Anolis sagrei: one gene and its partners. The protein of the gene in region 1 purifies or fractionates together with the protein of each later gene. This does not show direct contact. Links are inferred from orthologs where the notes say so. Each region holds a gene or a part of one and is shown in the gene's direction. Other genes may lie near its edges.

The links.
Region 2: the proteins of CAMKV (region 1) and PNN purify together in Homo sapiens (affinity purification with mass spectrometry; 3 studies listed by BioGRID and IntAct, counting the BioPlex papers as one, with this or other methods). This does not show direct contact. The link is inferred for Anolis sagrei from reciprocal best matches to the Homo sapiens genes CAMKV and PNN.
Region 3: the proteins of CAMKV (region 1) and AHCYL1 purify together in Homo sapiens (affinity purification with mass spectrometry; 3 studies listed by BioGRID and IntAct, counting the BioPlex papers as one, with this or other methods). This does not show direct contact. The link is inferred for Anolis sagrei from reciprocal best matches to the Homo sapiens genes CAMKV and AHCYL1.
Region 4: the proteins of CAMKV (region 1) and AP3B1 purify together in Homo sapiens (affinity purification with mass spectrometry; 3 studies listed by BioGRID and IntAct, counting the BioPlex papers as one, with this or other methods). This does not show direct contact. The link is inferred for Anolis sagrei from reciprocal best matches to the Homo sapiens genes CAMKV and AP3B1.

Annotation. Positions count from the first base shown.
Region 1 is NC_090022.1:75,026,763-75,034,045, forward strand, and holds the start of CAMKV (caM kinase-like vesicle-associated protein), read left to right. Parts: upstream 1-4,219; 5' UTR 4,220-4,497; intron 4,498-7,283. UniProt on the Homo sapiens protein: Does not appear to have detectable kinase activity.
Region 2 is NC_090021.1:303,575,107-303,582,486, forward strand, and holds the start of PNN (pinin), read left to right. Parts: upstream 1-4,227; 5' UTR 4,228-4,352; coding exon 4,353-4,465; intron 4,466-6,770; coding exon 6,771-6,842; intron 6,843-7,380. Other genes in the region: TRAPPC6B (trafficking protein particle complex subunit 6B), read right to left, coding at 1-46. UniProt on the Homo sapiens protein: Transcriptional activator binding to the E-box 1 core sequence of the E-cadherin promoter gene; the core-binding sequence is 5'CAGGTG-3'. Capable of reversing CTBP1-mediated transcription repression.
Region 3 is NC_090024.1:183,980,857-183,988,916, reverse strand, and holds the start of AHCYL1 (S-adenosylhomocysteine hydrolase-like protein 1), read left to right. Parts: upstream 1-5,044; 5' UTR 5,045-5,181; coding exon 5,182-5,292; intron 5,293-8,060. UniProt on the Homo sapiens protein: Multifaceted cellular regulator which coordinates several essential cellular functions including regulation of epithelial HCO3(-) and fluid secretion, mRNA processing and DNA replication.
Region 4 is NC_090022.1:265,418,331-265,426,253, reverse strand, and holds the start of AP3B1 (AP-3 complex subunit beta-1), read left to right. Parts: upstream 1-4,829; 5' UTR 4,830-5,045; coding exon 5,046-5,179; intron 5,180-7,923. UniProt on the Homo sapiens protein: Subunit of non-clathrin- and clathrin-associated adaptor protein complex 3 (AP-3) that plays a role in protein sorting in the late-Golgi/trans-Golgi network (TGN) and/or endosomes.

The DNA of each region.
Region 1 (7,283 bases):
CTTCTTATCAAGTGTTTCATAAGAGTTCTTCCAAGTTCTACTTGGAGATGACAAGAATGTAATGTGTACAAAACTGCATGAAATCCCTGATGTACAGTGGAAGAGACACTTCACTCCTGTTAGGGAGCCAAATACCTTCTTGCTGTGAAGGTATTTGGCTCCCTAATTTGGTTCTTATGTCTCCTCAGGAACACAAGAACAACACAGACACAAAGCTGTTCTTTTCAACTGGAAGGCTTTTCTTTCTTCAGTTGCAGCAATAGTACAAACAGTACAAATACTAACACAGTATGCACAACAAACTCTCTTCTCTTACAATCCATCAAACTCATTCCCTCATTAAACTCTCATCAAACTAACCTAGGGTTACTCCAACCTATATACAATAGTCTCAGCACTGGTCACATCCCAATTACAATGACACCTGTGGTTAAACCCGAGACACTGATCCTGTTATCGCTTCAAGAAATGCTGTGCAACTTACAAAGAATTAATGGCTAACCCTACCATAATGGCGGTTGCCATACCAGCTTTGGGCAAAAATACAGATAGTGTGGAGGAAGCAAAGGTAGCACCTCCATCACTGTTCCCCTTTGCTAGAAGATAGAGTTTTGAATAATATGCAGCTTGCTTGGCATATGTAAATAAACAAAAAACAATCTGGTAACATGGATGTTGTCCTGTCACCAGTACTGAATAGGACTTAACAGCTATGTAGCTCAATGCCTTTCCAAACTATCTGGAGGTCTGGCAATTTATGTTTTTCCCAATATGCTTTTGTAATATATTTGTACCCATTATACTATGTAACAAAATTTGGAAAAAATGTTCCTGGTTTGAAAGTGTTATTTCCTGTTTAATTGTGCAGTATTTACTTTGAAAGTAGCTGTTATACTCAAGAAACTTTTTTTTTTGGCTGCCACAAACTAGGTTGAATTGGTTGAGACTCTATGAGTTATTCATTGAAAAGCCATAGCAAAATGTGCTGCAGGGTGTCCCACAGAATTTTTGCAGTTTAATAAACTTTTTCCTTGTTTTATGATAGAACCAATTAGGAAATAATGTTTATAACCCAGGAACAAACATCGTGTTACATGGTGTCATCTGTAACTTTTTATTTTATGTTCTTTCCAGGAAACCTACCAGGCACTGGCTCACAGAACAACAGCATAAGCCAGTCCACCATTTAGGAGAACACAAGCCACCACTTAAAAGTACAATGGAGAAGCAGAGTGCCCTTTGCCTTAGGCAGCCAAATACATTGGGCCAGACCTGGGGCTTTGGGCATGGAAAGCACTCTACAATGAACAGTGTCCCTCTGAGATATGCTGTGAACCCCATGACCATGATCTTACAGCTAAGCCATGATATTTCAAATTCAAAATATTTCAAGTCACTGCATCCTTAGCCATGGCCTTGTATACATTGAAGAAGTGAGCTATTAAGGAGAGAAGAAGAGAACTATGGTATTCATCTATTCCTCTTGCATTAGCCTCTGGCTGGACAGAGAAATCACGCTGGAAGTTATTCAACAGGTTGTTAATCTAAAATAGGGACTGACAACAATTGCATCAATTTTCATGGTTCTGGGACTCTCTGTAGGCCACCAAGAAGGAAGGAGTGTGGTGGAGGCTCCTTCTTAGGAGGCTTTTGAGCAGAGGCTGGATGGCCATCTGTCAGGGGTGCTTTGAATGCGATTTTCCTGCTTCGTGGCAGGGTGTTGGACTAGATGACCCACAAGGTCTCTTCCAACTCTATGATTCTATGATTAAATATGATGCTCTATCATTGATTCCCTCACAACAAAATAAAGAAGGCAATATAGAACCAGACTGACACACAGTCTATGTGCAGGAAAGTGGCATATTTGTTCTTATTCTTTGAGGAATTCTGCACTGCGGTTTTAGAATACTCTAAGTTGGATGTTTTATGTACTCACAAATACACAATGAGATCTTTTGGGAATGGGACCCAAGGCTAAACACAAAACCCATTTATGTTTCATACACACATACCTTGAAAGTCATTTCATGCACAATATTTAAACAGTTTTTGAGTATAAAACAAAGTTTGTGAGTGAAATAAAATCCATTTGTTCCATATATAAAGGTAAAGGTTTCCCCTTGACATTAAGTCAAGTCGCGTCCGACTCTGAAAGGTGATGCCCATCTCCATTTCTAAGCCAAAGAGCCGGTGTTGCCCATAGATGCCTCCTAGGTCATGTGGCCGACATGACTGCATGGAGCACTGCTACCTTCCCCCCAAAGTGGTACCTATTGATCTATTCACATTTGCATGTTTTCAAATTGCTAGATTGACAGAAGCTGGGGCTAAAAGTGGGAGCTCACCCCACTCTCCAGATTTGAACCACTGACCTTTTGGTCAGCAAGTTCAGCAGCTCAGCGCTTTAACCCACTGCGCCACCAGGGGCTCATATATACATACCCTAGAAGTAATTTTGTACACAGTATGTAATACTTTTGTGCATGAAACAAAGTTTGTGCAGGAACCCAAATTCATTCCTGTTTGATATACACACAGCCTGTTAGAAATTTCATGCCCAATATTTTTTAATAATGCTGTTTATTTATTTATTTATTTACCCTGTTTATACCCCACCTTTCTCTACCCCAGGGGGCTTACATATGACAATTATTCAATGCCTTAAACATTGAGAAGCATCTCAAGCTCTAGGATTACCTGGGAAGGAATCCCACTGGAGTATTGCAACACACCTAAATATCTGGGAGTCACTCTGGACCGAGCTCTGACCTACAAGAAGCACTGCCTGAATATCAAGCAAAAAGTGAGCACTAGAAACAATATCATACAAAAGCTGACTGGCACAACCTGGGGATCACAACCAGATACAGTGAAGATATCTGCCCTTGCGCTATGCTACTCTGCTGCTGAGTATGCATGCCTAGTGTGGAACACATCTCACCACGCTAAAACAGTAGATGTGGCTCTTAATGAGATATGCCGCATTATCACAGGCTGTCTGCACACTACACCACTAGAGAAATTACAGTCTAGTCGGTATTGCATTACCTAACATCCAGAGGGAAGTAGCAGCCAATAATGAAAGGACCTAGGCAGTGACACCTCCGGCCCACCCCCTGTTTGGACATCAGCCAGCACTCCAACAACTTAAATCAAAAAATAGTTTTCTAAGATCTACAGAGACACTCGCTGGAACACCTCAGCAAGTGAGAGTCCAAAAGTGGCAGGCTCAAACACAGAACCTCAATCGATGGCTGATACCAAATGAGAGACTCCCTCCTGGGCACACAGAAGACTGGGCGACTTGGAAGGCACTGAACAGACTGCACTCTGGCACCACGAGCTACAGAGCCAACCTTAAGAAATGGGGCTGCAAAGTGGAATCCACGACATGTGAGTGTGGAGAAGAGCAAACCACTGACCACCTATTATAATACAACCTGTGCCCTGGCATATGCACAATGAAGGACCTTCTTGCAGCAACACCAGAGGCATTCCAAGTGGCCAGATACTGGTCAAAGGACATTGAATCAACTACCAAGCTTGCAAACTTTGTGTTTTGTCTGTTTGTTTGTTTTGTTAAAAATGTAATACAAATGTCTGGTTGCTCCTGACACTATAAATAAATAAACCATGAGATGCAGAGCCAACCTTAAGAAATGGGGCTACAGAGTGGAGTCCGCGACATGTGACTGTGGAGAAGAGCAAACCACAGACCACCTACTGCAATGCAACCTGGGCCCTGGCACATGTACAATGGAGGACCTAACACCAGAGGCACTCCAAGTGTCCAACTACTGGTCAAAGGACATTTTTAAATTTTGTGTTTTCTCTAATACAGGGATGGCATCCTTGAAGTGACTGGACTGACCTTGAAGGAGCTGGGGGTGATGACGGCTGGTCCATGAGGTCACGAAGAGTTGGAGACGACTGAATGAATGAACAACAAACAAATACATTGTTTCGCTCCTGATACGATTAATAAATAAATAATGCTTTAAACACATACAACATTATGCTCGAAATCCATTGAATTAAAATGATGTTGTGATTGAAACAAAGTTGGCGTCCCAGCCGAGGGCAAAGGCGTCCCACGTGGTGGACCAAACCTCCCGAATCCCGGCTGAGGATGCTCAACGTGTGACTCAGCTGGCCCAGGCGGTGGGCGGGGCTAAAAGTTCCCGGTGACGTGAGGCGGGCTGGCCACGCCCCTCCTGGGCGGCCCCTTGCGCCGCCTCTCCTGCCTAACTTTCCCTCTCGCAACTCCACTGAGATGCTCAACTTGCGCGGAGCCGCGGAGCAGCCCGGCCGCTCGGCTCCGTCTCCCGCCTCGGACGCCACGCCTCCCTCCGCCGACCCCCAGGCAGGCCTCGGACGGGAAGCGCGGGGTCCGCGGCGAGACTAAGGAGGAGGGCAGCCCAGGGCCCCTCGCGCCCCTCAGCCCAGCCCAGCCCAGCCCAGCCCAGTCCTTCCACCGGTGGAGCAGCGCTGCAGGTGAGCCTCGGGCAGCGCGCGGGAGGAAGCGGGCGTTTTAGCGGGGCGAGCGCGCTCGTGCGCTCGCGGGGTGGGGGCCGTGGGGGCCGTCTCGCGCTTGCCTTCCGTCCGGGGACTCTCTCTCTCGAGACCGCGGCAGTGGAAGGGGAATTCGCGAGGGAAGAGGGCGGGAAGCGTGTCGCTTTGGCGAAGTTGCCGCGGCGCTTTCGGAAAAAGCGGCAACCTGTGGGTTTTGGGCGGCGGGTGTGAGGGAATTGGGGACTTCATTCGCCGGCTGCCTCCCCTCAGGCACCCGCGCGCCTCTGTGGAAGAAAGGGGCGCGCCTTCAACGCGTGTTCACTGGGTTGCTGTGAGTTTGTCGGGCTGTATGGCCACGTCCCAGAAGCATTCTCTCCTGACGTTTCGCCTGCATCTAGGGCAGGCATCCTGGGAGGTTGCGAAGTCTGTCGAGGGCCGGAAAGGCGCCCAAGTTGGTCTGCAAAGGCCCGTCTCGCCTTTGACCCTCCAAGAGCGGGCTGGGCTCTACCGGGCGCTTCATCCGTCCAGCCACCGAGAGGACAGAGCAGTGCGGCTCTCGTTTGGAGGAGAGTCTCCGCACAGTCAACTCCGCCGCACCTGGCAGCCTCCCCACAGGCTCCACTCCGCAGCGCCCCCCTCTTCCCTTCCCGCGGCGCTTCATCAATAAACAAACAAATAGTGACAAAGTGGACGACGGGCTCCAACATAGAACACGCGTCCCTTGCCCTCAAGCTTTGATGATGAACCCCTGGGGGATTCATTCGTGGGCGAAACCATCAAGGGATTTGAATCAAAGGTGGGCATGGTTCAGAAGAAGAACTTCCCCCACAACGATTGCATTGACCTGGAACATAGGCCACTCCGCCCTGACTTGGTGGAAGATGTGGATTCTGGGCCTGTATTAGGTAGTGTTCGAGCAGGAATGGGCAAGCTTTGGCCTTCCAGATGTTTTGGACTTCGACTTCTATCATTCCTAACAGCCTCAGGCCCCTTCCTTTTCCCCCTCAGCCGCTTAAGCGGCTGAGGGGGGAAAGGAAGGGGCCTGAGTCTGTTAGGAATGGTGGGAGTTGAAGTCCAAAATACCTGGAGGGCCCACGTTGGCCCATGTCTGTGTTACAGGAAAGAGGGTGCTCTGCCCTCCACTGGCCTGACTCTGTGCCCCGAGTTATCTGAGGACCCGCCACAGTCCCCTTCCCCAACCAACTTTGCAGCTCCTGCACTTTGATTTCCTTCCTTCCCTTCTTCTCCCCCCCCCCAACCCAACCCCAGTACTTCCCCGCCTTTCAACTCGCACTCTCATTACCATGACAACCCCGAAATGTCACTGCGAAAGATGCTGTCTTAATTGCTGGTTTGGTGGCGGCCGAGGTGGGCGCGGGAGGAGAGGAGACAGAGGAACCGCATGCTTCAGTTCAGATCCAGGCTGAGGAGGCCCCTGAGGGGCAAGGAGGGGAGGAAAGGAGGGAGGGGTGCTGCCAAAGGCCTGGCCTCTCATGCATTTGGAGAGTGGGATCTATAGGTGAGGAATGGGACGTGTTTGGTGCTTGGACGGAAATGCTGCCTTCTCAGTCTTGTAACAGGAGTCCTGTAGGTAGAGCTGTCTTGCATTGCCTTGCTAGCCGTGCCTGTGCCTGTTCCTCTGTGACTACTTTACTGAGTGGGCTCTGGGTGAGGGGCCACGCAGGCCACAGTTTTGGAGCTCATCTGTGAGGAAAGAGCAGCAGGGAAGCTCCATCCCGCTTAGGAGGTAGGACTGGGTTGCTATGAGTTTTCCGGGCTGTATGGCCATGTTCCAGAAGCATTCTCTCCTGACGTTTCACCCACACCTATGGCAGGCATCTTCAGATCTTGAGAGGTCTGTTGGAAACTAGGCAAGTGAGATTTATATATCTGTTGAATGTCCAGGATGGGAGAAAGCATCTGGGGAGGGGAGGGAAGACTGCTCTCTCCTCAAACATCTGAGGAGCATCTACACCATGGGCAAACTTTGGCCCTCCAGGAGTTTTGGACTTCAACTCCCACAATAAGGAATTGTGAGAGTTGAAGTCCAAAACACCCGGAGGGCCAGAGTTTGCTCACTCCTGCTATACACTAGAATTAATGCACTTTGACATCACTTTAACTGCCCTGGCTCAATGCCGTGGGATCATCAAAGCTATAGTTTTACAAGGACTTTAACCCTGCCAAACAGTGCTTATCCCTCCTCAAGTTATAAATCCCATGTTTCCATAGCATCTAGCCACAGCAGTGGTGGAGGCTCCTTCTTTGGAGGCTTTTAAACAGAATCTGGATGGCCATCTGTCGGGGATGCTTCGAATGAGATTTTACTGCTTTGAGTGTTATTTCCTGCTTCTTGGCAGGGGGTTGGACTGAATGGCCCATGAGGTCTCTTCCAACTCTGTGATTCTAAGTGGTATCAAATGGCATTAATTTTACAGTTTAGATTCATCCCAGGTGAAACTCCTAGGATTGGAAAGGATTGAGACAACGTACCAGGAAGCTACTGAAATTGCTTCTGAGCCCCTTATTAGTGTTTTCTCCCATATGCACAGGTTTTTTTTCCGCAGGAAGAGAGATTTTGGGGGCCTAGAATTAACTAGCCAAGGAAAATGTATCACCCCCCCCCCCATTTCACAGTGGCACAGACATAGAGATACAATGTATTCATTTAGTGAACAGATCAGTTCAGAGCCAGACAGCAGATCAATCAAAGTGCAAAAAATCCCACGTTTAATCCATAGGCCCGCAGCTTGTGTGAGTGTGTGTTT
Region 2 (7,380 bases), on another chromosome or scaffold:
GGAGCAGCAGGAAGAGGGCCTCGTCCGCCATCTCCGCCTTGTTCATGCCGGGCCTCCCTGGGAGACGCAAGGCCCGCTCCTCCGCCGCGACGCTTCCTCCCCGCCTTCCTTCTCCTCCTCCAAGCCCAGCGCCTCCCGAAGGCCCGGCAGGAGGAGGAGGAGCTGCTAAGCAGGCCTGGGCCAACTTGGGCCCTCCCTCCAAGGGTTTTGGACTTCAGTTCCCACCATTCCTAACAGCCTCAGGCCCTTTCCTTTTTCCCCTCAGAAGCGGCCTGAGGCTGTTGGGAATGGTGGGAATTGAAGTCCAAAAACCCTGGAGGGAGGGCCCAAGTTTGCCCAGGCCCTCAGAAGAGGCCTGAGGTTGTTGGGAATGGTGGGAATTGAAGTCCAAAAACCCCAGGCCCTCAGAGGGGGCCTGAGGCTTTTGGGAATGGTGGAAATTGGAGTCCAAAACCCTGGAGTCCAAGTTTGCCCAGGCCCTCAGAAGGAGCCTGAGGCTGTTGGGAATTATGGGAATTGAAGTCCAAAAACCCTGGAGGGAGGGCCCAAGTTTGCCCAGGCCCTCAGAAGGGGCCTGAGGTTGTTGGGAATGGTGGGAATTGAAGTCCAAAACCTCCAGGCCTTCAGAAGGGGCCTGAGGCTGTTGGGAATGGTGGGAATTGAAGTCCAAAAACCCCAGGCCCTCAGAGGGGTGCTGAGGCTTTTGGGAATGGTGGGAATTGGAGTCCAAAACCCTGGAGGGAGGGCCCAAGTTTGCCCAGGCCCTCAAAAGGGGCCTGAGGCTGTTGGGAATGGTGGGAATTGAAGTCCAAAAACCCTGGAGGGAGGGCCCTAGTTTGCCCAGGCCTGGTCTACACTGTAGAATGAATGCAGCCTGACCACTCTGACTGCCACAGCTCATGCCTCCATAGTCAAGAAGACTATGGCCTTCCCTCCAGCTGTTTTGGACTTCAACTCCCACCATTCCTAACAGCCTCTGGGCCTTTCCTTTTTTTCTCCTCAGTCACTTGGAAAAGGAAAAGGCCTGGTGTTATTAGGAATGGTGGGAGTTGAAGTCCAAAACCTCTGGAAGGCTGAAGTTTGTTTTGCATCCAGTCCATGGGCTTTAGTTTGGGGACCCCTGGTATAGACATTTAGGGTGATCAATACAAATTACAATCCACAGTCTTATTGCTTCAAAAGTATATAAATGGTTGCAAGGTTTACAGTTTGCGATTGGTATATAGTATGGCGGGAAACTTGATAAACCTTTTAATTTGAGGAATTCTGGAGCTGGTCTTCTGTAAACACGCCAGCCACCCCCTTCTGCCTGAAGGAGCTCATCAGCCTGGAAAGGGATTATTTTGGGGAAACAATGTTTGCTGATTGGTATCAGCTGGCAGAGGGGAAGGTTTTCTTGATTGAACAATACATGGATTGTTATTCCAAAATGATGGGTTTGACTTTCTCGGAGTGGGATAGGAGCACGCCCTGCACTTACCTACATAATCCTTACATAATCTTTGGCTTCAGCTTTCTGTGAGTTGATCAGGTGGTGGGAAAATAAGGGGGTTTGTCAATGTTGCCCAGCTAAGAGTCTTTTTCTGGCTTCGGAAGCTCAGCGGAGTAACTACAGGTCATTTCTGAACCTCAACATTTTTAGGAGCCCCAGCTTCAGACAACAACATCAACTACATAATTTCCATAAATCTACCAATTTGAAATCTGTTGCAGCAAATAAATAAAAAACTTGCACCACCACAAATCAGTAGAGTAAGTTTTATTGAGTCAGAGTCCTACTAGGTTAACTCTAGGGAAATACACAACTATCCGATAATCAGATGTATTTATCGTGTCAGAAGCAAATTGAGAATACACAAAGTTTAAAAAAAACAAAGTTTAAAACTTAGCATTATGCTAGATTTCCTTTGACCAGAAGCTGGCCACTTCAAGTGCCTCAAGTGTGAAAAGGTTGTGCATTTAATATGCATTTAAAAATACAAAGTTAAAAAAACCCTTGGCATTATGCTAAATGTCCTTTGACCAGAAGCTGGCCATTGGAGTGCCTCTAATGTCGCTGTGAGAAGGTCCTCCATTGTGCATGTGGCAGTACTCAGACTGCATTGTAGTAAGTGGTCTGTGGTTTGCTCTTCTCCACACTCCCATGTTGTGGACTCCACCCTGTAGCAACATTTCTTAAGGTTGGTGTTGCATCTCATGATGCCGAAGTGCAGTCTTTTCAGCGCCTTCCAAGTCGCCCAGTCTTCTGTGTGCCCAGGAGGGAGTTTCTCATCTGGTATCAACCACTGATTGATGTCCCGTGTTTTAGCCTGGTACTTTTGGACTCCGCTTGCTGAGGTGTTCCTGCAAATATCTCTGTAGATCTTTGAAAGCTGTTTCTTGATTTAAGACATTGGCATGCTGGCTGATATCCAAACAGAGGATGGGCCTGAGATGCCAATGCCTTGTTCCTTTTATTACTGGCTGTTACTTCCCCGGGGGGGGGGGGGGGGCGGGGGGGGGGAGGTTGAGAAGGGCAGGGTACAAATATCTGAAATAAATAAATATCAGGTGATGCAATACCGGCTAAACAGTATAATTCTCCAGCAGTGTTGGGCATAGACTTCCTGTGATAATGTGGCATGTCTCATTAAGACATCTACTGCTTGAACATGGTGAGATGTATTCCATACTGGACATGCGTATTCAGCAGCAGAGTAGCAAAGCGCAAGGACAGATGTCTTCACTGTATCTGGTTATGATCCCTAGGTTGATAATTAGATTAGAGACTGTCAGTACACAGTATATGGCATGACTGAATGCTGGAAGAGCAGCAGTGTATGAGTTTAAGACACAATTACTTGCAAAATCAGATTCTTATCTGGTGATCGTTTATTTAGGATTAGGCAAAAAGGCCCACAACTTCCATGATTCCCTAGCTTTGAGTTATAGCAGCCAAAATAGTGTCAAACCGCATTAATTCTACAGTGTATATACATCTCTGAAGTCACCGATTGATTTACAGTCTATGTAGTAGCTATTTTGTGCTACAGCTATTTGTATTAGGTAAAAAAAAGGTAAAGGTTTTCCCCTGACATTAAGTCCAGTCGTGTCTGACTCTGGAGTTGGTGCTCATCTCCCATTTCTAAGTCGAAGAGCCGGCATTGTCCGTAGACACCTCCAAGGTCATGTGGCCTGCATGATTGCATGGAGCACCATTACCTTCCCTATTAATCTATTCACATTTGCATGTTTTCAAACTGCTAGGTTGACAGAAGCTGGGGCGGACAGCGGAAGCTCACACCGCTCCTCGAATTCGAACCTGTAACCTTAGGTAGTTACCTCATACACATTTCAGCATTTTATAAGAGTGACTCATCTATAGTCAATTTGTCATGTTGATCCCACATTGATTTTTTTATTTCTTCTATAGTTTTGAGATAAAAGATATTGGGATAATATTTAGAAAATGTCACAATAAAATTTACTCAAAAACAAGGTACCAAATAGGAAATTGGGAGGCATATCTCAAATCGCGTAAATGATTCAGAATATATTTTGATTAAACCAATTATGTGTTGTGTTGTAGTTCTATGGAAAAGGTTTGGGAACCACTGACCCTGAGCACCTGGTATTTATTGGTGGTCTCCCATTCAGACACTAACTAGGGCTGACCCTGCTTAACCTCAATCTCCAAGATCAACCAAGATATGGTGCAATTAGGGTAATCAGTCAGTAAAAGAACAGAGATTACTGGGATTAAATATATTGTTTGATTTTATTGTGTCTTATGCTCTTAAATTCACTGGTTAGCCTCCACATTCCTTTCTCAGAAATGCCTTAGCCCCGCCCCTTGCACTCAAGAACGCCTCCTAACCCACAGAGGCGCGAAAATAGTAGGGCGGGGAATATAATACAGAGAGAGAACCTACCTCCAAGCACGGATTGGCCATATGGTTGTGCCGCTTGCCATTCGGTTGGCTGCTTATTGTGTCATTCAACTCTGGTACTTAGCGATTGGCAGAAGGAACCCAACAGGATTCTTTCTAAGTGGCTGAAAGCGACGTCACTCCACCAACGTGAACCGTTGAGTGGCAGAAACGGGAAACTTGATTGGTGCACCGAGCTGCCGCTCAATCTCAGAGGCGGGCGACTCGTGAGAGATTCCGAGTACCGATTGGACAAACGTGATGTCGTTTTAATGTGCTGGTTCCCGATTGGTGGATTCTTTGAGGGAGCCACGTTACACGTGTAGGCGGGGTAACTTCCCCCTCTGCTCCCCAGCTCTTCGCTTACCCGACCGCGCTTTCTGCTGGGCCCAGGCAGGGTAGGCCGCGCCTGTCCTGGTACTAGGAGTAGTAGTATCAGGCGAGATGGCGGTGGCCGTGCGGGCCCTGCAGGAGCAGCTCGAGAAGGCCAAGGAGAGCCTCAAGCACGTCGACGAGAACATCCGCAAGCTCACGGGGCGGGACCCCAACGATGCGAGGTGAGGGAACCAGCCCAAGGGTGCTTTTTCAGGGCCCTTCCACACAGCCAGAAACAGCAAGGCAGGAAATCCCGCATTATCTGAGTGTGGACTCGGATAACCCAGTTCAAAGCAGATATTGTGGGATTTTCTGCCTTGATATTCTGGGATATAGGGCTGTGTGGAAGGGCCCTCAGTAAGGAACTGCCATATAATCCAGATTAACCACTTTAAACCGGATTATGTGAATCTACACTGCGGTTCGGTTCAGCTGCATTCACAAACTATTATATGGCAGTGTAGATGATGATACTGGGAAATAGGGCTGTGTGGAAAGGCCCTCAGTGAGGAACTTCCATATAATCCAGATTAATCACTTTAAACCGGATTATGTGAATCTACACTGCGGTTTCTGTGTTCGGCTCAGCTGCATTCAGAAACTACTATATGGCAGTGTAGATAATAATAATAATAATAATAATAATAATAATCTTTATTTATACCCCGCCACTATCTCCCCAAGGGACTCAGGGCGGCTTACATGAGGCCAGGCCCGACAATACAATGCATCCGTATAAACCAATACAGCAATAAAATAAAACTACAATACAAAACCATAATAAATAACATATCAGCAATAAAACACAGCACTTAAAAACACAAAAATCCTACACTGAGGGCAGGGCCTATTCTAATAGATTTAAAATTTAAAACACTGGGCGTGGCAGCAATAAAATAAGTCTGAATAGAGGTTTTAGAGCAGGGTTCCTCAAACTAAGGCCCGGGGGCCGGATACGGCCCTCCAAGGTCATTTACCCGGCCCTTGCACAGGGTCAACCTAAGTCTGAAATGACTACAACAACAACAATCCTATCTCATCAGGCAAAAGCAGGCCCACACTTCCCATTAAAATACTAATAAGCTTATATTTGTTAAAATTGTTCTTCATTTTGATGATTGTATTGTTTTTAAGTGTTTTTTGCACTACAAATAGGATATGTCCTTCTCAGTGCCTTCTCAGTGGTGGCCCCTCATCTGGAATTCACTCCCCGGGGAAATTAGATCAGCGACATCCCTCCTTTAGAAAGAAATTAAAAACATGGACGTGGGACCAGGCGTTTGGGCACTCTGGCAGATAAATAAAGGACTGTGATGACGGATAGGAATAGACAATGTGGAACGAAGTATGGACTCTGAGTTGGTGAACGCTGTGCTTGAGATTGGCTATTGATTGTGATATATATAGTTGTTTTAATTGTTTAACTGCTTAACTGCTGTTTTTATACATTTATTGTATTATTGTGTAGGCATCGAATTGTGCCATTTTGTAAGCCGCCCTGAGTCTCCCTCGGGGGTTGAGAAGGGCGGGGTAGAAGTATACGAAATAAATAAATATGTGCGGTGTGCATAGGAATTCATTCGTTTTTTTTCAAATTATAATCCGGCCCTCCAACAGTTTGAAAGACTGTGACCTGGCCCTCTGTTTAAAAAGTTTGAGGGCCCCTGTTTTAGAGGGTGAGGTAGGATTGATTGCCCAACAGGTAGAATAAAGTGCTTCAGAGGACCTTTTGCAGGGAATTGGTCAGATCAGGGAATTATTGCTCTTTCATTCAGGGAAGGCACATTGGAACAACCAAGTTTTCAAGCTCCTCCTAAAGACTGCCAATATGGGGGCTTGCCTAATATCCTTAGGGAGCGAATTTCAGTGTCGAGGGGTCACCACTGAAAAGGCCCTCTCCCTCGTCCCCACCAGTCGCACCTGCGAAGGGGGCAGGAGCGAGAGAAGGGCCTCTCTGGACAATCAAAGAGATTGCATGAGTTTGTGAATGGAAATGCAGGTAGGCAGGTCCCAAACTGTCCAGGGCTTTGTAGATAAGGACCTGCACTTTGAATTGAGACCGGAAAATGAACGGCAGCCAGTGGAGCTCTTTAAATAGGAGGGTTGACCACTCCCTGTAATTTGCTCCAGTTACCAATCTGGCTGCTGCCCGTTGGACCAAATGAAATTTCCAGGCCGTCTTCAAGGGCAGCCCCACGTAGAGCGCATTGCAATAATCCAATCAGGAGGTGAGTTAAGGCCAGATCTGACTTCACGAGGTACGGTCGCAGCTGGCGCACAAGCTTCAATTGTGCAAAGGGGCCCGATTCTTCTTTATAACAAGGAAGCAGGGTACTACTTACTACTAATGTAACAATTGTATATATACGATAATAATTATATTGTGTGTGTTGGTTTATATATAATGTAATACCAATTATATGTGTGTCTTTACCTATTTGTATATCATAGTAATTTTATGTGTGTATGTTTGTGTTCCTTTTTCAGGCCTGCTCAGGGTAGGCTCTTGACCATCACAGGCCCAGGTGGAGGTAGAGGGCGTGGAAGTATACTGCTGAGGTAAGAGTCTATGGAAGTATTGTCCTCCGGTGCATCTGCGCCAGGCATGGGCAAACTTGGGCCCTCCAGGTGTTTTGGTCTTCAACTCACACAATTCCTAACAGCCTCAGGCCCCTTCCTTTCTTTCCTTTCTGCTCAAGCAGCTGAGGGAAAAAGGAAAGGGTCTGAGGCTGTTAGGAACTGTGGGAGTTGAAGTCCAAAACACCTGGAGGGCCCAAGTTTGCCAAGGCCTGATTTACACTTGATTCTATGGCGTAGATGCTTCCTAATTTAAGTGAACCTTAACGCAGACTTTGCTTGGAAATAAGTATTTGGAGAGGGTTTGCCTTCCTCTGAGGCTGAGTGTGTGACTTGCCCGATGCCATACAGTCTCCCAGAGCTCTAGGGTGCATCTGCAGTGTAGAATTAATGCATTTTGATGCCACTTAATGGCACAGTGTTATGGGATTGTGGAAGTTGTAGTTGCACAAGCAACTTTTAGGTGCCGTTTGCAACTGTTTCCACAATGTGAGTAGTGCATTGCTGCACAGGACTGACA
Region 3 (8,060 bases), on another chromosome or scaffold:
TTCAGACTCCATTGGACTTTCAGACTAGACAGAGAGATGCTTTAGATGATAGACTGTTGATTCTAAGAATTAGGCCTGTGTTACCTACACAAACTACTTCAAATCCTATTTGTAACTGGATTGATAAGCAAAATTTGCTGAATACATGAAGTTTGTGAGTAAACCAACTATGTTACTTTTAAAGAAGTGTGCATATTTTGTCTCTTGAGAGCATGGTCTCTCGTTCCTCTGCCTTTTCCAAACCCAACTTGTACATCTGGCAACTCTTGCTACATGTATTGCTGGAGTCTACTATGTTACTTTTAAAGAAGTCTGCTTATTTTGTCTCTTGGTAGTATGATTTAAAGGCAAATATATATTTAAGGAAGAATAGATGTTTCTGGGCAACTACAAAAAAAAAAAAAACCACTTCTGAAACTCTGCTATATACATATATGTTTTGTGCATTGGCATATCTTTGTCCCTAACCGTTCAAAGAGATGTTTAGGATATCAGTTTAACAGCTGAGAAACCTAATTGCCTTGCATGAATGCCATTTTCCCAAAAGATTATGGCATCATTATTCAAATGGTTATGACTTCTAACAAGGTCATGCCTTTCCAAAGATCATAAAATCTCCAAAAGGGTAAGGAGATTTCAGTTTTCCAAAATGCATTACCCCACAGGATCCGTGGCCATGATTTGTGTGAATACTTTTTTGCCTGGCTTGTTGTGGTTGCAGGTTCAGCACAGGGATGAAAGTGAATGGTTGAATTGGTATCAAGGCAGGAAGTGGCAGGCAAATTGCTTTTTTGAACTAGGCCTTTCCCTCCTTGCTGCCTCTCCTTCCATCCCAGTGGATAATAGGGTTCTAACTACTTTGCCTTTGCCTTTCAGGCATTTGAATTTGAGTTTTTTCTGCCCTTGGCAATTTTGGCATGAATTTCTCAGCAGAGCATAATGCAGGAATGGGGAAAATCCACCTCATGGGACATATAAGGCCCACAAATTCATTTGGTCTGGCCTGGCACAGAGAAGGACACCTCTCCCAGTCCACTCTCTGTTAAGTTGTATTTCTGGCATTGCAGAGGGATTGGCTGGTGTCAAGATGTTATCGAGCAATTGAGAATGGCTATGGATAGTGAGATCCAAGCCACTGTGAGTTTAGCCTGGTGAGAAAATAAGCCAAAACTCCAGAATGAATCTCACCAAGTTGAAGCAGCTATAAGGCCGTGATTTACATACTGCTTTGTATCTCCTCTCTCTCTTTATGATTGGCTGCCTTTCTCCCGAGGGGGGGGGGGGGGTTAAACCCCCTTCCACATTCCATCATTGCCAAAAGGCAAAAACCCGCAAAACAGCAAGACTGCGAAAAGTGAACTGCAAAGTAGCGAGGGAACACTGTAGTGATATAATATACTAATATTGTGCTATGGTAATAAGTCAGAGCCCCCCATTGATTGTCTTTTTGGGCTCCTCCCTCACAAATACACTTTCCCCCCACTCCTATCTCATCCAGAGTTTTATCATTTTATCTTGTGTATTTGGCCTGCTCATTGTGTTTGACTTTCCATTATGTTACTTTGCATTGCTTATTTTATCTTTTTACATTATGTATTTTATCATGATGTAATTTTTTGTTGTTTTGTATTTTATTTTGCTGTATTGTATTTTTGGGTTTGGCCTCATGTGAGCTGCCCCGAGTCCCCTTTGGGGAGATGGTGGTGGGTATAAATAAAGTTTATTATTATTATTTAAAACACAACAAGATGAGTCCAAAGCAGACAAGGTCACTCTGCTGGCTGTTGTATTGGATCACACCTCGGACACTTCCCAAGTGTCTAGGACTGTGTGATGTATTGGTGAATAATGTGTGCACATCCCAGTAAGGTGGCCTTCTGCAGCTGGCAGGTGGTAATTTTGTCAGCACTTATTGTGTTTAAGTGCAGGCCAGGGTCTTTAGGCACTGCACCCAGTGTGCCGATCACCACTGGAACCACTTTGACTGGCTTATGCCAGTCTTTGCAGTTTGATCTTTAAATCCTCGCATCGTGTCAGCTTTTCCAGTTGTTTCTCTTCAATCCTGCTGTCAACTGGGATTGCAACATCGACAATCCATACTTTGTTTTTTTAACACAATTGTAAAGGTCAGGAGTATTATGCTCCAAAACTCTGTCTGTCTGAACCCGGAAGTCCCAGAGGAGTTTGGCGTGTTCATTCTCTGTAACTTTTTCCGGCTTGTGATCCCACTAGTTCTTTGTTGCAGGCATATGGTATTTGTGGCACAAGTTCCAATGAATCATCTGAGCAACGGTGAGGATGTGATCTATTGTTTCATCTGCTTCCTTGCAGAGTCTACATTTGGGATCTGTTGTCGACTTTTCAATTCTGGCTTTGATGGCATTGGTTCGAATGGCTTGTTCTTGGGCTGCCAGAATCAGACCCTCCATCTTCTTTTTCAAAGTTCCATTTGTGAGCCACAGCCATGTTTTTTCTTTGTCAGTTTGGCTCTCACTTTTTCCCAGGAACTGTCCATGGAGAGCCTTCTTTTGCCAGTTTTCTCTTCTGCTCTGGATTGTGTTTTTACAGTATTCACTCTTTCTCAAAACTCTATCTCAATTCGGAAGTCCCAGAGGAGTTTGATGTGTTAATTTTCTGTAACTTTTTCCTGCTTGTGATCCTACCAGTTCTTTGTCGCAGGCAGATGGTATTTGTGGCACAGGTTCCAGTGAATCATCTGAGCAATGGTGTTATGCCTCTGCTTGTAGTCTGTCTAAGATAATTATTATTACATATTACAAGTAATATGTAAATAATAATAATAAGTTTATTATTATTATTTACATATTACTTGTAAGCCACTTGGAGTCCCTTTCAAGGTGAGAAGGGTGGCATATAAATTTCGTAAATAAATAAAATTAATTAATGGAATAATTTTACAATTTATAATCCAAAGCCATGTCTGGGTTGTTGTAGGTTTTTTTGGGCTATATGGCCATGTTCTAGAAGCATCCTCTCCTGACTTTTCGCCTGCATCTATGGCAAGCATCCTGAGAGGTAGTGAGGTCTGTTGGAACTAGGAAAATGGGTTTACATATCTGTGGAATGACCAGGGTGAGACAAAGGACTTTTGTTTGCTGGGGCTAGATGTGAATGTTTCAGCTGATCACCTTGATTAGCATTCAATGGCTTAGAAGTGCCCGGGGGGAATCCCTTGCTGAGAGTGATTTTATGTGCCTGTTTGTTTCCCCTCTGTTGTTTTGCTGTTGTGATTTTTGAGTCCTTTAATACTGGTAGCCAGATTTTGTTCATTTTCATGGTTTCTTCCTTTCTGTTGAAATTGTCCACATGCTTGTGGACTTCAATGGCTTCTCTGTGTAGTCTGACATGGTGGTTGTGAGAGTGGTCCAGCATTTTTGTGTTCTCAAATAAAATGCTGTGTCCAGGTTGGTTCATCAGGTGCTCTGCTATGGCTGATTTCTCTGGCTGACGTAGTCTGCAGTGCCTTTCATGTTCCTTGATTCTTGTTTGGGTGATGCTGCTTTTGGTGTTCCCGATGTAGACTTGTCCACAGCTGCATGTGGACAAAGCACGTTGGGCGGGGACAAGAGACAGGGCCTTCTCAGTAGTGGCCCCTCGGCTATGGAACACACTCCCTAGGGAAATCTGATCTGCTCCCTCCCTCTTGACGTTTCGGAAGCAAGTTAAAACGTGGCTATTCGAGCAAGCGTTTACAAATACAGAGTAACTAATATAGGAAATCGAATGACCTGACAATGGAATTGGACAATGCTTGAGAATAATGAGACGCTGACGATGTTGCTTTTATTGCTTTTGTGATGTCTTATACTGTTCAATGTTTTTTATATCATGTGTTTTATGTATACTGATTTGTTGGAAACCGCCTTGAGACGGCAATTGGCTGAGAAAGGCGATATACAAATACAGTAAATAAAATAAATAAATAAATAAAGGTATACGGTAGACTCCTGCAGAAGTGTCCTTTGCTGAACGTAGCATTTGTTGGATTTTCTTTGTGGGTCAAAGCCAGGTCCTTTTTCTTTCTCTAGAAAGGAATTTATTTGGCTCGAAAAAGATCTTGGAGTCCTCGTGGACAACAAGTTAAACATGAGCCAACAATGTGATGTGGCGGCAAAAAAAGCCAATGGGATTTTGGCCTACATCAATAGGAGCATAGTGTCTAGATCTAGGGAAGTCATGCTACCCCTCTATTCTGCTTTGGTTAGACCACACCTGGAATATTGTGTCCAATTCTGGGCACCACAATTCAAGAGAGATATTGACAAGCTGGAATGTGTCCAGAGGAGGACAACTAAAATGATCAAGGGCCTGGAGAACAAGCCCTATGAGGAGCGGCTTAAGGAGCTGGGCATGTTTAGCCTGAAGAAGAGAAGGCTGAGAGGAGATATGATAGCCATGTATAAAATATGTGAGAGGAAGCCACAGGGAGGAGGGAGCAAGCTTGTTTGGGAAGCTTGCTTCCCTGGAGACTAGGACGCGGAACAATGACTTCAAACTACAAGAAAGGAGGTTCCATCTGAACATGAGGAAGAACTTCCTGACTGTGAGAGCCGTTCAGCAGTGGTACTCTCTGCCCCGGAGTGTGGTGGAGGCTCCTTCTTTGGAAGCTTTTAAACAGAGGCTGGACGGCCATCTGTCAGGGGTGATTTGAATGCAATATTCCTGCTTCTTGGCAGGGGGTTGGACTGGATGGCCCATGAGGTCTCTTCCAACTCTTTGATTCTATGATTCTATTTTGTTTATTCACATTATGCCATGAATTCATATGGAATTGGCTCCAGGAGCTCAGGCTCTTTGCCGCCGGTCCTCACAAAATGTGGTTGAGCAGGCTGTGTCCTTTTTTCATCCTCGGCTCCTTCCATTGCGTCACTTCTGCAACCAGCCGCCAGATGGCGCTGAGGTGCTCTCATCCAAGATGCTGCGCGACAGAGCTTTGCGTGCGACGTCGGGAGGGCCCGGCTTGGTCGGCGCGAGGGGGAAAGGGGGCGGGGCCCCGAGGCGTGCGTGGTGACGCGCGCGCCCCGCTTGGCCCCGCCCCTTGCCGGAGCGCGGCAGCGGTGGTTGCAGGCTGAGTGGTTGCTGACGGAGGAGGAGGAGGAGGAGGAGGAGGAGAGGCACCTGAGGCGTAGGATCCCTCTCTCGGGCCCTTTCCCCTTCAGGATGTCTTCGGCGCCGGACGCGGCCTCCGGGGACGAGCTGAAGCAAGCCAAGGAGATGGAGGACGCGGAGAAGTACTCCTTCATGTCCACGCTCACCAAGGCGCCCAAGAAGGTGAGCGAGCGAGGGAGGGAGGGAGGGCCGGGATCACCTCAGGCCTCAAAGTCGCGCCCTCTGGAGGGGCCAAGGAACCCCTTCGGGGCAGAGGAACTCTGCACGCGCTCAGGGGAGCACTTGCCTTGGTCAGCACTCGGGGAATAGATAGATAGATAGATAGATAGATAGATAGAGGAGGCGGAGGAGAAAGAGATTTCTGCCCTGTAGAAGGAAATAATGCGGGCTTGACGCCACTTGAACTGCTATGGAATCATGGGAGATGTAGTTTTACAAGTTCTTTAGGGAATCCTAAGAGACCACAATGGCCACAAGCCAACCCCCTGCCGTGTGGGAGAAGCACAATCAAAGCAACCCCGACAGATGGTCATGCAGCAAAGAAGTATCCTTTCATGTCCATACTCACCAAGGTGCCCAAGAAGATGAGGGCGCCTTGTACACTCTGAGCATGTACAGAGTTCCTCTCTCGTCCAGCCACATTTCAAAAGCCATCCAACCTCACTCTGAGACAGAGAGTTCCACTGCTGAACAGCTCTTACAGCAAGTGTGAGCAAACTTTGGCCCTCCGGGTGTTTTGGACTTCAACTCCCACAATTCCTAACAGCCGGTAGGCTCATGCCTGTCTTACACTCAGGAAGTTCTTCCTAATGTTCAGCTGGAATCTCCATTCCTGTCATTTGAATCTATTGCTCCTCTTTCTTTCAAATATTTGAACATGGTTATCCTGTCTCCTTTCAACCTTATCTTCCTCACCAAACTACAACTCCCAGAATTCCAGGGCAGTTTTTTTTTCGTGCCAGGAGCAACTTGCGAAACTGCAAGTCGCTTCTGGTGTGAAAGAATTGGCTGTGTGCAAGGATGTTGCCGAGGGGATGCTGGGATGTTTTACCATCCTGTGGGAGGCATCTTTCATGTCCCCACATGAGAAGCTGGAGCTGATAGACAGGAGCTCGCCCCGCTCCTTGGATCTGAACCGCTGACCTTTCGGTCAGCAGTCCTGCCGGCACAGGGGTTTAATCCATTGCTCCACCGGGGGTTCCTCTCCAGGGCAGTTAAAATGGGGACGCTGAGACATTTTACCATCCTGTGGGAAGCTTCTCTCATATTCTCACAAGAAGCTGGAGCTGACAGACAGGAGCTCACCCCACTCCTTGGATTCGAAACGCAGACCTTTCGGTCAGCAGTCCTGCCAGCACAGGGGTTTAATCCATTGCGCCACCAGGCAGTTAAAATTGTGTTAGACTGCATTAAGTTTACAGATAAATGTGGTGCTGTCTGTCAGGTGTTTTGGCTGAAAGCATCTACACTATAGAATAAATGCAGTTGGGCATTCCTTTAACGACCACAGCTTAGTACTATGGAGTCCTGCGAGTTGTAGTTTGGGAAGGCACTAGAAACATTTGGTAGAGAAGGCTAAATATCTTGTAAAACTACAAGCATTTAGCCATCGTAGTTAAAGTGGTGTCAAACTAAATTTCTTCTGAAGTGTAGATGCATCCCAAGAGAGGTGTTACAGCTCAAAGGGAGTCAGTGTTAAGACACACTTTCCTGGTGTGTCAGGTGAACGGTTCCTTGCTGCCCGAAGCTTAACTGACTCTTAAGATCATTATCCCTGTTCCTCTCTGTGGAAGGTATTTCCGCCTAGATGTCTGTAAAGAGGCCTGGCTAGATGTGATCCAAGCCTTGTAGCTGTCCTGGGTTATGACGATTTCCCTTGATTCATGCCACAGGCTAGGAAGAATGTCGAGGCCAGTGGGCACAGGTGATCCGGAAACCAGGTTTGCTTTCAGACTGCTCTGCAGAAGGAGGTCCTTCCCCTTCCCGTTGGTGCTCTGCCTGTTCTCAGGAATGTGGGTATTTGTGCTGTGGCATGTGAGCCTCTAAGGGCCATTATGCAAGCTATAAAAGTGGGTTGCAGGTTATTCCGTAGCAGTAAGTGTCTTGCGTCTATTGCAGAGACCTGGATGTGCTTCTCTATCAGTAGACGATTGATTTCACTTCTGAATAAGTCTACAAAGTCCCTTGCTTGACTTGTGTGAAGGCTGCACCTGCTAACAGCCTAAAAGGGATCTGTGCTATGAAGAACTTATTCTTAAATCTGCTCTAGCTGGTATCCTTAATCCAAGGTCTTCTCGGGAAAGGGTCTTCTCGGTGGTGGCCCCCCGACTCTGGAACTCACTTCCCAAGGACATCAGACATGGCCCAACTCTGGCAGTCTTTAGGAGGAGCCTGAAAACGTGGTTGTTCCAGTGTGCTTTCCCAGAATAAGGAAAACTCTCAGCAATATGCCCTCAAATGCACTTTACTATGGATTTAGGACTGACTGCGTTCCCTCATCTCTCTTTGAAAAATTTTTATCCCAGTTATATCCTACCTTGGTCATGCCCAGCATTATTTTTTAAATTTTAATTATCACATTTGGCCAAGCCATAGATTTTTTTTAAAATGCTTGTGTGTTACTGTTATTGTTTATTGTTTATTTTTTTGTTTATGTGATTTATATTAATTGTTTTGTATTTATTGTTTTTGTTATTGCTTCTGTTTACTGATGTACTTTGGGCTTGGCCTCATGTAAGCCGCACCGAGTCCCTTGGGGAGATGGTGGCGGGGTATAAATAAAATATTATTATTATTATTCTCTAGATTCTTCCAGTTCTATTTAACATAAATTAATAAACAATTGTTTCTTTGAGTTCTGCCTGGTTTGCTTTCCCCAAAATTACCTTTGTGAGGCCCCATAGTTGTAATAATTGTTGTTAGTGAATCTG
Region 4 (7,923 bases), about 190 Mb from region 1:
CTTCTTCCTAACTTTTAGGCACCAGGTAAAGTCTTTACCATTTTTTCAGGTTTTAATATCATATCTGGGATATATGAGCTCCTGGTGGCGCAGTGGGTTAAACTGCTGAGCTGCTGGCTCCCTGGCGATTCGAATCCAGGGAGCGGGGTGAGCTTCCACTGTCAGCCCCAGCTTCTGCCAACCTCGAAGTTCAAAAACATGCAAATCTGAGTAGAACAATGGGTACCACTCTGGCAGGAAGGTAATGATGCTCTATGCAGTCATGCCAGCCACATGACCTTGGAGGTGTCTATGGACAACGCCGGCTCTTTGGCTTAGAAATGGAGATGAGCACCAGCCCCCAGAGTTGGGGCTACAAAGTGGAGTAAACGTCATGCGAGTGTGGAGAAGAGCACAGAGCACCTAATACAGTGCAACCTGAGCTCTAGGAGCCCCTGGTAGCGCAGTGGGTTAAACCCCTGTGTTGGCAGGACTGAAGACCAACAGGTCGGAGGTTCGAATTCGGGGAGAGCATGGATGAGCTCCCTCTATCAGCTCCAGATCCTCATGCGGGGACATGAGAGAAGCCTCAGATAATGTGGGATTTTATTCAGCTGTGTGGAAGAGGCCTCCACACAGCCCCCCCTGCATGGATGAAGAAAGACAATGCCCAATAAACGAGTCTTCCCTTCAACCCACAATATCTCTCCCTTATGCAGGGCAATGCATAAGGGAGAGATATTTTGATGATAGCTTAAAGGTAAAGGTTTCCCCCTGACATTAAGTCCAGTCGTGTCTGACTCTGGGGGTTGGTGCTCACCTCCATTTCTAAGCCGAAGAGCCGGCGTTATCCGTAGACACCTCCTAGGTCATGTGGCCAGCATGACTGCATGGAGTGCTGTTACCCGCCGGAGCGGTACCTATAGATCTACTCATATTTGCATGTTTTTGAACTGCTAGGTTGGCAGAAGCTGGGGCTAACAGCGGGAGCTCACCCCACTCCCTGGATTCGAATCAGCGACATTTCGATCAGCAAGTTCAGCAGGTCAGCAGTTTAACCCACTGTGCCACCAGAGGTTATATAATCAAAATACGTAGTATATTTTGTATACATAAAATATATAGTGTATGCATGTGTGTGTATATATATATATATATACACAAACACACACATGTATATACTAGCCATTCCCTGCCGCGCATTGCTGTGGCCCAGTCTGTGTATGTTTTGTGTGTGTGTATATGTGTGTGTATATGTTTGTGTATATGTGTGTTTATGTATATATGTGGTTTTGTGCATGTGTTGTAATGTGTTTTTTGTTTTTTAAGGTCTCTTATGCTGTGTTTTTCAGTGTCTTTATGAGTGATGGTCACTTGTTGGCCTGATAGATGTCGTGTCCAAATTTGGTGTCAATTAATGCAGTGGTTTTTGAGTTGTTAATCCCACAAACGAACATTACATTTTTAAAAATATATAGATATATGTTGTTGTTCGGTCGTTTCTGACTTTGTGACCTCATGGACCAGCCCATGCCAGAGCTCCCTGTCGGCCTTCACCACCCCCAGCTCCTTCAAGGTCAATCCAGACACTTCAAGGATACCATCCATCCATCTTGCACTTGGTCGGCCCCTCTTCCTTTTTCCTTCCTTTCCCCCCAGCATAATTGTCTTCTCTAAGCTTTCCTTTCTTCTCATGATGTTGCCAAAATACTTCATCTTGGCCTCTATTATCCTGCCCTCCAATGAGCAGTCAGGCTTTATTTCTTGAAGTAAGGACTGGTTGGACCTTCTCGCGGTCCAAGGCACTCTCAGAATTTTCCTCCAACATAGTTCAAAAGCATCTATCTTCATTCACTCAGCCTTCCCTATGATCCAGCTCTCACGTCTGTAGGTGACTATGGGGAATACCATTGCTTTGACCATGTGGATCTTTGTTGCCAGTGTGATGTCTCTACTCTTCACAATTTTATCAAGATTTGTCATTGCTCTCCTCCCAAGAAGGAAGTGTCTCCTGATTTCCCGGCTGCAGTCTGCATCTGCAGTAATCTTTGCACCTAGAAATACAAAGTCTGTCACTGCCTCCACGTTTTCTCCCTCTATTTCCCAGTTGTCAATCATTCTTCTTGCCATCATATTGGTTTTTTTTATGTTTAGCTGCAACCCAGCTTTGTACATACACTATATATAGATATATATAGTACTAGCTGTCCCCTGCCATGCGTTGCTGTGGCCGTCTGTTGATCTGGAAAATAAAGTAATGAGAAAGTGTTGGTTTCTAATATATGCAATTTCTTTATGCTTGTGGGTAAACAGTATTTCTTGCTGTTTCTTTGTCAGTGTTGATGTGGAGAGTGTCTGGTTTGCCCACCCTGGAACATGCAAGATATCATTGTCCTTCTTTAAGGGTCCCTTTCAAATCTATGATACTATATCTCTGTGTGTGTGTGAATAACATCTCTCTCTCTCTCTCTCTCTCTCTATCTATCTGAGTCCACAGTGCTCTCTGGATCTATCTATCTATCTATTTATCTGTATGGCTGGATGGCTCTTTGTCAGGAGGACTTTGATTACATTTTCTTGCCCTGGAGAAGAGAGTTGGACTGGATGGCCTTAAGTATTTTCTGTTGGTCATGGGGGTTCTGTGTGGGAAGTTTGCGCCATTTCTGTCATTTGTGGGTTTCAAAATGCTCTTTAATTGTAGTGAACTATAAATCCCAGTAACTACAAATTCCAAATGTCAAGGTCTATTTCCTCCAAACTCCATCTGTGTTCATATTTGGGCATATGGAATATTCATGCCAAGTTTGGTCCAGATTCATCATTGTTTGAGTCCACAATGCTCTCTGGATGTTGGTGAACTACAACTCCCAACCTCAAGGTCAATGCCCACCAAACCCAAGGATACCATCCATCCATCTTGTCCTTGGTCGGCCCCTCTTCCTTTTTCTTTCCATTTTCCCCAGCATTTTCTGTTGGTCAAGGGAGTTCTGTGTGCCAAGTTTGGTTCAGTTCCATCATTGGTGGAGTTCAGAATGCTCTTTGATTGTAGGTGAACTATAAATCCCAGTAATTACAACTCCCTATGCTGGGGAAAGTGGAAGGCAAAAGGGCCGACCAAGGGCAAGATGGATGGATGGCATCCTTGAAGTGACTGGACTGACCTTGAAGGAGCTGGGGGTGATGACGGCCGACAAGGAGCTCTGGCGTGGATTGGTCCATGAGGTCACGAAGAATCGGAGACGACTGAACGAATGAACAACAACAATGACAAAATCAATTTTTGAGTGAAGAACATATATTGGGTTATTAGGTGCATTGTGTCCAAATTTGGTGTCAATTCATCCAGTGGTTTTTGAGTTCTATTAATCCCACAAACGGACATTACATTTTTATTTATATAGATAGAAGATTGTATACATACAAAATCTTCAACAGCCAGACAGTGAGTATTTCCCCTGGCAACATGGTTCTGGATTTTTCACCAAATCCTTATAGCAGTGGTTCTCAACCTGGGCCCCCAGATGTTTTGGCCTTCAACTGCCAGAAATCATAACAGCTGGTAAACTGGCTGGGATTTCTGGGAGTTGTAGGCCAAAAACATCTGGGGACCCCAGGTTGAAAACCACTGCCTTATAGCCTATGACTCTGGAGACCAGGGTTTAAATGTCTATGGAAACTCACCGAGTTACTTTGATCAAGTCACACTTTCTCAGCCTTAGAAATCCAAAACCATGCTTCTGGGGAGACAGTTTAAGTGGCTGAGGAGGAAAAAGGAAGGGCCTGAGGCCAGGCCTGTAGCGAGGGGGTGGTTTTAGGTGTTCAAACCCCCCCTGAAATGTTTCAGATTTTTTTTAAAAAAAACCCTGGTTTACTCATGAATTTTGACTGGTTAACCAAATCCCCATGCTAAGTCTATGAGATGCAAAAAATTAAGAGTCCCTCCAGAACTGTAAGCACTATCTGAAGCAAATATTGACAATTTATTCACACTGTCATTACCTGCAGCAATAGTGGATGTAGTGAAGCAACCAAGTTGGGGGGGGGGGGTGTTGAATGCTCTCATTAAGGAGGCCAGACTTGGTGGAGGTGGTTGACAGGGGCGGAGCTGCGGGCTATTGAAGGTTGCTCTGCCCCCTGCTGTGCTCTTTGCTTCAGCATGAGCTAGGAGGCAGGTTTCAACACCCCCAGGGGCGGCTCACCCATTACGCAAAGTAAGCATTTGCAGTATAGTTGATTTAGCCCAGGGGCGCTCTTGAGGCGCTCTTGGGGGAAAATAGACCTTGACATAAGCGAGTTGTAGTTACTGGGATGTATAGTTCACCTAAATCAAAGAGCATTCTGAACTCCACCATTGATGGAACTGAATCAAATATGGCACACAGAACTCCCACAACGAACAGAAAATATATATCAGTGATTGGTTAGGGGGGGGGGGGGGGCTCCAAAATACTGTTTGCTTACTTTGAAAATTACCTAGGGCCGCTTCTGAACACCCCCCCCCGTGAAATTTTCAAACCCCCCCCCCCCAAATTTCAACCCCTCCCGAATTTTTTTTCTGGCTACGGCCCTGCCTGAGGCTGTTAGGAATGGTGGAAGTTGGAAGTCCAAAACACCTGGAGGGAGGGAGGGCCCAAGTTGGCCCAGGCCTGGCCTGGAGTCGGGGGCTCTGCCTACGTGGCAACAAGAGCGCGAGCGCGATAACGGGACCGCCTTCCTTCCTTCCTGGCGCTCGTGACTGCCTTTGGGCGCTTAAGGAGGAAAGGAGGAGCCCCTCGTGACAGTGGGCGGAGCTTATGGAAATTGAGGGGGAAGGGCCTTGCGTTCCCATGACAACGGCGGCGCTGGAGAAAATCCCATTCAGCCGTTCTTCCCCTCCCACTTCTCCCCCCCTCCCTCCTTCGAGGAGCACGTGACCAACATTGGAGTGCTGCTTGCTTGCCGTCAGCTTCCGGGACGAGCCGGATTGTGTCTGTGTGAGGGAAGCAAGGAAGGAAGGAAGGAAGGAACAGCGGGAAGGCGAGGCCCAGGGAGAAAGCAGCGGCAAGGGAAGCGACTCTCACGGGAACATGTCGGCTAACAGTGTCGGCTACAACGACCAGGCCGGGGATGCGCAGGCGGAGGTGGGCCAAGAGGCGACGCCCACCACCGCTTCCTCCTCTTTGCCGGCGGCCTTCGGGCTCTTCAGCAGCGACGGGAAGAAGTAAGTGGCCAAGCGGGAGGGAAGGGAACACACGGGCCATCCAGTCCAACCCCCCTGCCATGCAGGAAAAGCACAATCAAAGAAGCCCCGACAGATAGCCATCCAGCCTCTGCTTAAAAGCCTCCATGGATCCTTCCACCACACTCCGAGGCAGAGAGTTCCACTGCTGAACAGCTCTCTGTTCCACACAGCCCTATATCCCAGAATATCAAGGCAGAAAATCCCACAATATCGCCTTTGAACTGCGTTATCTGAGTCCACATTGCCATATAGTCCAGCCCTATATCCCAGAATATCAAGGCAGAAAATCCCACAATATCGCCTTTGAACTGCGTTATCCGAGTCCACATTGCCATATAGTCCAGTTCATTGCAGATAATGTGGGATTTTATTCATCCCACATTATCTAAATGGTTCTGGCCCGACCTATCTGTCCGAACACATCTCCTCCTATGAACCAGTTAGGACATTAAGATCGTCTGGGGAGGCCCTGCTCTCGGTCCCACCGGCCTCACAAGCACGCCTGGTGGGGACGAGAGACAGGGCCTTCTCAGTAGTGGCCCCCCGGCTGTGGAACACCCTTCCTACAGACATTAGATCGGCCCCCTCCTTATTGGCATTCCGGAAGAGAGTGAAGACCTGGCTCTTTGAACAGGCTTTTAACTAAGCAGTGCCATTGATTGATTACTGGAATATGGATTAATGGACAACGAGATCGGGTGCTGATTCTATTGACGAGACGTGATGGATTGTTGTTTTGCTGTATTGTTGTATTGATGTTTTGATGTTAGCTAATTGATATTACTGTTTTAAATGATTAATGATTTTGTACTGCGTTGTTGATACTGGTTGTTAACCGCTCTGAGTTGCCTGATGGCTGAGAATAGCGGTATACAAGTGAAATAAATAAATAAAATAAATCTGTGTGGAAGTAGCCTCACTGCCAGGAAGTTGTTCCTGATGTTCAAGTGGAATCCCCTTTCCTGCAATTTGAACCCATCGCTCCCTTCCACACAAATGAATAAAATCCCAAATTATCTGCTCTGCACTGTGGGCCCTTCCACACAGCCCTATATCCCAGAATACCAAGGCAAAAAATCCCACATCTGAGTGTGGAGTTAGACAACCCAATTCAAAGCAGATATTGTGGGATTTAGTTCCTTGATATTCTCCCATATAGGGCTATGTAGAAGGGCCCTGTAATATATGGCATTGTGGACTCAGGTAACTAAGGGCCCTTCCACACAGCCATATAACCCAGAATATCAAGGCAGAAAATCCCACATTATCTGAGTGTGGACTTAGATAACCCAATTCAAAGCAGATATTGTGGGATTTAGTGTCTTGATATTCTCCAATATAGGGCAGTGTAGAAGGGCCCTGTAATATATGGCAGTGTGGACTCGGATAACTAAGGGCCATTCCACACAGCCATATAAACCAGAATATCAAGGCAGAAAATCCCACATCATCTGAGTGTTAAAGCAGATATTGTGGGATTCTCTGCCTTGATATTCTGGGGTAGAGGGCTGTGTGGAAGGGCCCATAGGACCCTTCTGCACATTCCTATATCCAGAAAAATCCCACAATATCTGCTTTGAACTGAGTTATCTTAGTCCGCACTCAGATAATGTGGGATTTTCTGCCTTGATATTCTGAGCTGTGTGGAAGGGCCCTTAGTCTCCAGGGTAGCAGAAAATAAGCTCACCCCCCCCCCCTCAATGGACAGTCTTTCAGATGTTTAAACATGGCTGTCATGTCCCCTCTTGGCCTTCTTTTCCCCAAATTAAACATACCCAGCTCCTTCAGCCGCTCCTCGTAGGGCATGGTTTGTATGGGAACACCTTGCACGAGAAGAATATGGAGCCTCCAGTGTTGCAGCGGGTTAAACTGTGGAGCTGCTGAACTTGCTGAACAAAATATCTGTGGTTCAAATCCGGGGAGTGGGGTGAACTCCTGCTGTGAGCCCCAGATTCTGCCAACCTTGTAGTTCGAAAACATGCAAATGTGAGTAGATCAACAGGCAGCACTTTTTCAGGAAGGTAACGGCACTCCATGCAGTCATGCTGGCCACATGTCCTTGGAGGCGTCTTTGGACAATGCCAGCTCTTCGGCTTAGAAATGGAGATGAACATCACCTCCCAGATTCGGACACAACTAGACTTACCTTTACTTTACGAGAAGAATAAGTCGCTCAGGGTGTATTTGTGCTAAACAGTTATATTGATTTGAAGGCCCTTAATTCCATCGCATCAAATCCTGTGATTTGTAATAATTATCTGGCTCCATTTCAAGGCATCCTATGATTTGTAATAAAGGGTCCATCCGCAATGTAGAAGTAATGCAGTTTGACAGCATATCTAAGTGCCCTTGCACAGTGCTATGCAATCCTGGGAGGCCTCTTCCACACAGCTGAATAAAATCACACACTATCTGCATTGAACTGAACTATATGGCAGTGTGGATTCAGATAACCCAGTTCAAAGTAGATATTTTGGGATTTTCTGCCTTGATATTCTGGGATATAGGGCTGTGTGGAACGGCCCTGTGTTGTGACCCTCCTTGAGCCATGGGGAGAGGCGTGTAAGAAATAAAAATTATTATTATTATTATTATTATTATTAATATTATAGGGGGAGGTTATTTTTTTGATGTCATGTTACCGCCCGTTTGTTGTTCCTATATGAAGACTGCTGCATTATTCTTGATTTTTTTCCCCTGTTCCTAAATGACCATCATAGTCA